Drosophila melanogaster: one gene and its partner. The protein of the gene in region 2 interacts with the protein of the main gene of each other region in a pairwise test. Each region holds a gene or a part of one and is shown on either strand. Other genes may lie near its edges.

Evidence for each region. The genes of interacting proteins can lie anywhere in the genome.
Region 1: the proteins of CG13526 (region 2) and TwdlM interact in a two-hybrid assay, tested with the Drosophila melanogaster proteins (one large-scale study listed by BioGRID).

Annotation. Positions count from the first base shown.
Region 1 is NT_033777.3:26,616,049-26,620,724, forward strand, and holds TwdlM (TweedleM), read left to right. Parts: upstream 1-3,069; 5' UTR 3,070-3,118; coding exon 3,119-3,133; intron 3,134-3,210; coding exon 3,211-4,062; 3' UTR 4,063-4,176; downstream 4,177-4,676. Other genes in the region: TwdlP (TweedleP), read right to left, coding at 4,614-4,676.
Region 2 is NT_033778.4:22,753,557-22,756,396, reverse strand, and holds CG13526 (uncharacterized protein), read right to left. Parts: upstream 1,179-2,840; 5' UTR 1,073-1,178; coding exon 608-1,072; 3' UTR 501-607; downstream 1-500.

The sequences.
Region 1 (4,676 bases), on a different chromosome or scaffold from region 2:
TGCACTGGGACCGTGCTGTTGCTCGTAAAGAGTCCGGGATCCTGAAAACTGGGACATTAAGCTGGCATTAGGCAGAGGCAGGCCTGCAATTAAAATAAAATGGAGAGCTCAAGCGTCGACGACAATATGCACTATAAGGCAGACAAAAATGTGTTTTTTACTGCGCAGAATGCGTACTAAGGAGACCTCGAAAATAATTTATTGCCTTCTTGTGGGTGCCAAGGATCGCGCAAAAAGCCGCAAATTTATTTGCCGCTCTTATCGCTCTATCCATGTAGAAATAAAGCATAGAGCATATTTTTTTAATATTTTCTATATTTTTTCCTATTGTTGATTTCTTATGCCATTTTCGGCTGATGTGCACAAACAGAAATCTCTTGTATGGCTAACTTTTTAATAAATAATCTCGGCCATTTAGCTGGTTGCAAGCAAAAAATACATAAACACGCAAAATAATAATCAGCATCTGTCGTCGTTGCCGTTTGATTGTCAATACAAAATATTTATATCGCTAACACAATTTGCCAAACAAATTGGCCAGCTCGGCGAAATTTGATTTGATTTATTCCTTTCAGCACTCTCGGATAGGTTTTTTAAAATATTGCGTTTTTTTAGCATAAGCTTTAGTTTAGTTTCCATGGTTTGGTTCGGGTTTTTGCGCTTGAAATAATTGATATCGGCTATTTGCATATCAGATTTAATATATTTGCATATATTTCTTTTGCAAAAGAGAAACGATTTTGCGGCAAGCCAGTCAGCTTTTTGGGTAACATTTTTTGTTTTTTATTTGTCGCCAGGCATGCGGAAATAATTTTGGCAACTAAAACTCGTATCTAGAGAAGAATAGAAACGGTCTGCTCGTAAAAGAGTTCGAAAAGCCGGCAGCTCCAAACATTTTTGCAAAAGAAAGGCTAGAAGCAAACAAACTCGTTTAACTGGGGTTTAACTGGCAAATTTGTCGTTCGTAAATAAAGCTTATGATTTAAGGAAATTACTAATGCTCCAATTTATGGTGAGGCGACAGATTTGATTGGATTTTTGCACCTGAAAGGCACCGCCCGGTTTTGACACCAGCCAGGTGATAGCCGAATAAATTAAATGCACAATTTTATTCGTTTCGACATTCTGGTGGGTGCCAGTACAATGGCAATAAAATAATATAGGGGCAGTCTTGTTGTCTCGAAGAGAGAAAGACTAAAAATAATGGATAAAATAATAAACAGTGTCAGATTTTGTAAATAGATCGATTGACCCAAAAGGCCATTTACATAAAGTGGTGCCAGAAATTCCCTCCCGTAGATGTTTTTTGTCCGCTTGAGCCGTTTTTTTTTTATTTATTTATTGATACGCCAACGTCGTCCGACCGCTATTATCTTCGATTTCGTGCTGGAAACTCTTTTCCCGCGTTTTGACCACTTTTTATGTCGCTGCTGCGTGCATCTTTTATGTGCGTGTGGCGCCCGAGACCTTGAAATTGTGGCTGGGTTGTTTTATTATGCTTACATTTGATTAGTTTGCATATGACATTGCCACCAGCGACTAACTTGGCTGAGATGCTGGCCAATCGGCGAGCCGCAACAGTTGGCAGTGGGCAAAAGGTGGGGCCGCACACAAAGCCAAGACAAATTGTTTTTGACTTTAGGTTATTGCTTCGAATGTGAATCTTAATTGGATCCCGGCCAGCGTGGAATGGGGGGCATCATATAGCATCATTAGATATAGAACCATATAGAACTTGTGTGTGTCCGTCACTGAAAATGATATCATGGTTGTGATGTCTTAGCGGATTTCCTAACTGACCCCATCTTCGAGTTACTCATCGCTATAGTTATCCGTGATATCAATCAATATATATATTAGTCATAACCGCGATTGGCATTCGCCACTATTGATTTGCAAATCGGTTCGGCTATCTTAAATATGGATCTTGGGTATTTCTCCTAAATTATGCAAATCAAATCAGTTTTCAGCGGATTTGCTGCTGCCTCTACCCCCCTTCTGCTCGAAAACTTTGCCGAAATAAAATAAAAAACCATAATTTTTATGATATCAATAAACCATGATGAAAAACGTGATAATCGCTGATCAGATTAAATGGTCGCCTGGCGCCAGCTGATTACCGCCGAATTCCGAATAGCTTCGGGTGCTGGTCAACAGTAAAAAACCTCAAGGTCGCAACGGTTGTTAGCTTTATGGCTTCTATTTTGCGAAGCCGTGTTTTTGCCACAGGTTAAATGGCCAAGCGACGAGCTCCGGACAAATGGACAGATGGGCCGTCGGATAGATGGACGGATGAATGAATGGATGCGCAAAAAGGCTGGCGAAAATTGATTTCTATCCATTTCAGATCCATTGTTTTTCAACCCTACCACAGTCCACAGTCCAGTGTTCGGGTTTTATATGGCCAAACCCTAGAGCAGCCAGTTCCATACACCATACACCATACACCATACCATACCATATACCATATACAATATTCCAAATACCAAAGGGGGACGCAATAATCGCTGGGGATTCCCAGCTAGAAATATGCGGCTGGATCAACTAAAAAGTGTAGAAAAACCGAGTCGTTTTCGAACTCGTTTGGATGCTCCGCTAAATGTTTTAGCATACAAAATATGAAGAAAATCATTTCATTTACTGAAAGCATGACCATTTATAGTAGTGGCTTTTGCTAAACGAGTTTTCAGCCGTTTCCTCCGCCGAGAGCCTGCTCTATTGGATTACAACTTGACGGGTAGGGTCGTGTGCCTAAAAATTTTCGATGATGGTACTACGACTTGGACTGAGGGATCGTGGAATTAGCATAATGTCGACGCCAACATTTGCAAGAATAGGGCGGCCAGGTATCGATGCGCTTTGTTCACGTCGGCTTGGCCATTGTTTTATCGCACAAGCTTCGTTTTTCGAAGGTGGATAGCATTTCAAGAGACAAAAGCTGCCGAAGAAGTTACCAAAAAATGCTGCGGAGCCAACAAATACAACGATGGTAAAGTCTGCATGAACTTGAGCGCAGTTTAGTGACACCGATCGTTGGTTTTCGTATAAATATTGGACCTTTCGGTGATGCAAACGTCAGACACAACCAAGTGGTCAAAGTCAAAGAACTAAATTCAAAATGCGTGCCTTCATTGTAAGTATACGTTCGATCGCCGACGAAATACTCCAAAAGGATACCAAGGATTACAATGCTGTTTTCTTTATCTCCAGGTTATGTGCTTGGTGGCAGTCGCCTGCGCCGATAAGCTCGGCTACAACTACCAGCCCGTGGGACACTCCAGCTCCGGACTGTCCTTTGCTCCTGGAAGTGGCAGCATTGGAGGTGGCTCCATCGGAGGAGGCAGCATCGGAGGAGGCAGCATCGGAGGCGGCAGCATCGGAGGCGGCAGCATCGGAGGCGGCAGCATCGGAGGATCCATTGGTGGTGGTTCCATTGGAGCCAGCATCGGAAGCGGTGCCGGTCTGGGTGGTCTGAGCAGCATTGGTGGTGGAAGCATTGGCAGCATCGGAAGCATTGGTGGTGGTGACGCCCTCAGTGCCCCCGTCTCCTACAACGCCCCTGCCCCAACCGCCGAGCTGGAGAAGGAGTTCTTCACCTTCACCGCCAACGAGCAGGACTTCGATGAGCCCCAGCAGCTGGAGCGTGTGTCCTCTGCCCTGAACAAGGCCCTGCGCGTTGTCTTCATCAAGGGACCCGAGAACCGTGGCCTGGAGAACGCCGCCCTGGCCCTCGCCAAGCAGGCTGCCCAGCAGGAGACCGCCATCTATGTCCTGAACAAGCAGGCCGATATTGGAGATCTGGCCAACAAGCTGAACGCCATCCGCAGCAACAACAACAACAAGCCCGAGGTGCACTTCGTCAAGTACCGCACTCCCGAGGACGCTGCCAACGCCCAGCGCGCCATCCAGGGTCAGTACGACCAGCTGGGAGGATCCAGCCAGGCCCACAACGGTGGTGTTGCCCCCGTCCTGAACTTCGCTTCCGCCGCTCCAGTGCGTCAGGCCGCCGCCCAGAGCCCCGACAACTCCTACCTGCCATCTTCGGTCTTCCGTCGCGTCTAAGTCGCTCGTTTCACTCCTTTCGGAATCGAAAACGCCAGCGATTTTTGACTGATATTAAATCGTAGTTTTTGTTGACTAATGCTTAAATAAATTCAATTCTTAAATTTTAAAACCAATTTGACTTGTTGTAGTGCATTTGTAAAAACCAAAAAACTTTGCAGGCTGAGTTCATTGGGAACGAAACTTCGCAAGTTCGGATTTATTTGCAGCGAAATATTTTCTTGCAAACTTTGAAAGCGCACATAAGTAGAAGCACTTATATATTTCTTAGGAACTAGTTTATACTTTAACCATATTCAAAATTTAATACCAGTTTATGGCTGCTGAGATCTTGGGTTTTGAACAAGTATTTTTATTTCTTCTTTCTTCTTTCTTTCTGTTTTTATTCGATTATCGCTGCTATAAATAGGTATACAATTTATTTTGAAAACTGTTGCATACTTATGTTGCTTTCGTCAATTTTTAAAGGAATTAACCAAATGAAAATACAATAATTTACATAACCAAATTAGATAACTTTTATTCGAAAACAACGTTTAACAATCGATTTTCTAGTGACGCAGGCGACTCAGGATGTTGGCGGGTAGGTAGTTGCTCTGGGGCACCTGTTGAGG
Region 2 (2,840 bases):
CGTTCCTTCTGGATAAGCTCCTTCTTCATCTTCTAGCTCTTCCCCTACTGTGAGCCCCGCCTGCAGCGCCCAGCCAACTGGCAGCTGACTTGTTTACACAACACTTTGCATGTGTGTTTGTGTGTGCGGCCATTGCACATGTGTCCATGTCCATGTCCTGCAGGGGGAGTGGCAGGGGCGGTGGCGAAAGGATGGCAAAGTCAGCAAGCAAAGCTCTGGCGGCTTAATGGACGAAACGTGCTGTTGAATTAATTTCTGGCTTTATGCTCTCAATTTTTTCCTTCCGTTTTCCATTCAGCCGCCTTCGTTTTTTCTGCCAGCAGGCAGAAATATATGTACGTCTATGTATTGAATTTCAATTTTTAAGTACTTCAAACATTAAGCCCTACTAAAAACAAAATAAAGAACATTTTAAATAAAAAAAAAACCATTATAAAATTAAACGAAAATTCATAAACACTGACTGGCTTTTTACACAAAAATTAAATATATTAATAATTATGAAAACAATAATTTTTATTATAATCTACAATAGATTTGTGAGATACATTTTTGTTTGTTTGCTTACTCTGTATGAAAAATGTTCAATTTTGCTTGCTGTCTCAGCTCAAATGGGGCTGTGCATAAAGCCTACGAAATCGCGCAAGCTTATGCGACCATCGCCATCCATATCGACTGCTTGGCAGATATCCTTAATATCGTCATCGGTTACGACTTCGCCCAGGACGACCATAATGGCACGAACATCCTGGACGGTGACGTAGCCGTCGCGATCGCGGTCAATCATGTTAAAGGTCCGGCATAGACTTTTATCACTATCCACATTGGCCATTCGGGGCGCCATCATGCGTATAAATTTTTTCAAGTCCAGCCTCTCCTCGTCTCTCACAGCCACCGAATGGATGAGATCGTACAACTCTGCCTCAGTGATTTCGTAACCCACTGATATTAGAGCCAGTCGCACCTCGTTGGCTGATAATGTGCCATTCGAGTCCAGATCATACTTTTCAAAGGCATCCCTCAGTTCGTCGATATGCTCATTCGTCAGCTCATTGCCGGAAAAAGAAGGCATGGCACTAGCAAATAAAACCCTAAAGTAGTTCAGGAAAATCAGGAATACAAAAAAAAAAAGGAGAAATGGGGAAAAACCGATGTGTATGAAAACTGACAATCAACTCAACTCAACCGAACTCAAACTCTGTTCTCGATGGCTAATAAAACACTTAGGCAAGCAATTGTTGTTGTTGCGGTCACAAACTTTTCCGGAATAATAATGCATCATATACTCGTACAAGGGGCAATAAAGGGAAAAAATAAGGAAAGCAGAGATGCTGAAGCATGCAACGTTTGGAGAACCATCCATCAATTTGTCAATTCAGCGCTTGCCTTTGAGTGGCCGTCCATGGGACAGGAATGATGTTAGATGACGATGATGATGATGATGGGCAGTAGTTGTGCTGTGGAGTGCTGGCCATAAAAAATCAAGCGGGCATATAAATTGAAAGGATGCTCTTGTACTAGCTGAAAGGATTTTTTGTAATCCCTGTCCAGTTTCAAGTAATTATATTGAATAAATGCTATCATAGTTGGACTTTTAAATTTCAACCATACTGTGAAATATTTTTGAGAAAATCCTAATTAAGACTGCTGTAATTTCAGCAAATAAGAAAACATTTATTTAACCACACCTTCTGTCTAATGCTTCTACCTCCGCCTCCTCAAATCCCTACAATCGCAGGGGACGCGAAGCCACTGACTTGTCAGGGATTTCTAGGCTTAGAAATAAGTTTTCCGACAGCCCATTTGATTCATTCAACTTTGAGGCCTGCTCTTGTTGCGTTCATTCCCCCAAAGACTTTGAGCCGGATGATAAGCAAATGAAATGTTGTCGCCGTCCCACATGACGAATGATTAATGACACGAATGATACATTTCTCCCGGGGGCAAAAACCACGCGCCACGGCCAGTCAAAAGTTTAAACCCAACTTTAACCATGGCAGGCACTTTTTCACTCGGTGTCACGGTGCCTGGCTGCAAATTTCGCTAGTCAGAGCTTAGTGGGGGATACTGTTTGCAAAGTGACTGAGTCCGGAGTCTTCTTCTGCTACATTAGCCTACTTCCTCCGCTCCACAAGCAACAGCCCACTCAGGATTCCTCTGATGCTGCAACAACTTGTGCTTGTGTATTTGCTTAAGCCGAGCTCGCTTTCCTGTTTCCTTCCGCTGCCTTTCCACTTTTCCACATTCCCACCGCTTCCATGAAAAGGGGGTGGGGGCGCAATGGCGAAGGGGCGCTGGGGCGGGGTCTCAGGAAAATTGATTTTGAAATAGTTGGTCTGCCTTTTTAAATTTGATTGACGTTATTACATTACATAACATCGCACACTAAGAGGAAAGGCGAAGCAGCTGGCTTAAGTTATTCATCCATTTAGCCCCACTTAGGGGCGGGGGATGGTGGTGGTTGGCAGCTAGGGGCGGCGGGTGATTGTGACGGGCAACAACAAGTGGAAAACTGTCATTATATTTGAGTTATTGATGGTTTTTTTTTTTCAAAATCATTTTGCAACAATGTTGCTGCTACCCAACCGCACCGACACACTCACACACACACCAACACACTTTAGTCACACGCTGACAGGATCTACTCCCCCTCAACCGCCACCCCCTTACCCTTCCGCACACACACACACACACTGTTACATTTACGCTTAGTTAAACGCATGGCTGTGGCTTGTTAACGCCGACAAGCGCAAAAGTTTGCCGTTCGCCAAATGCTTGCGATAATCGACAAGCTCTCACATACTCAACCGAATGCACTCAAAAAAATGCGAGAGAATGCT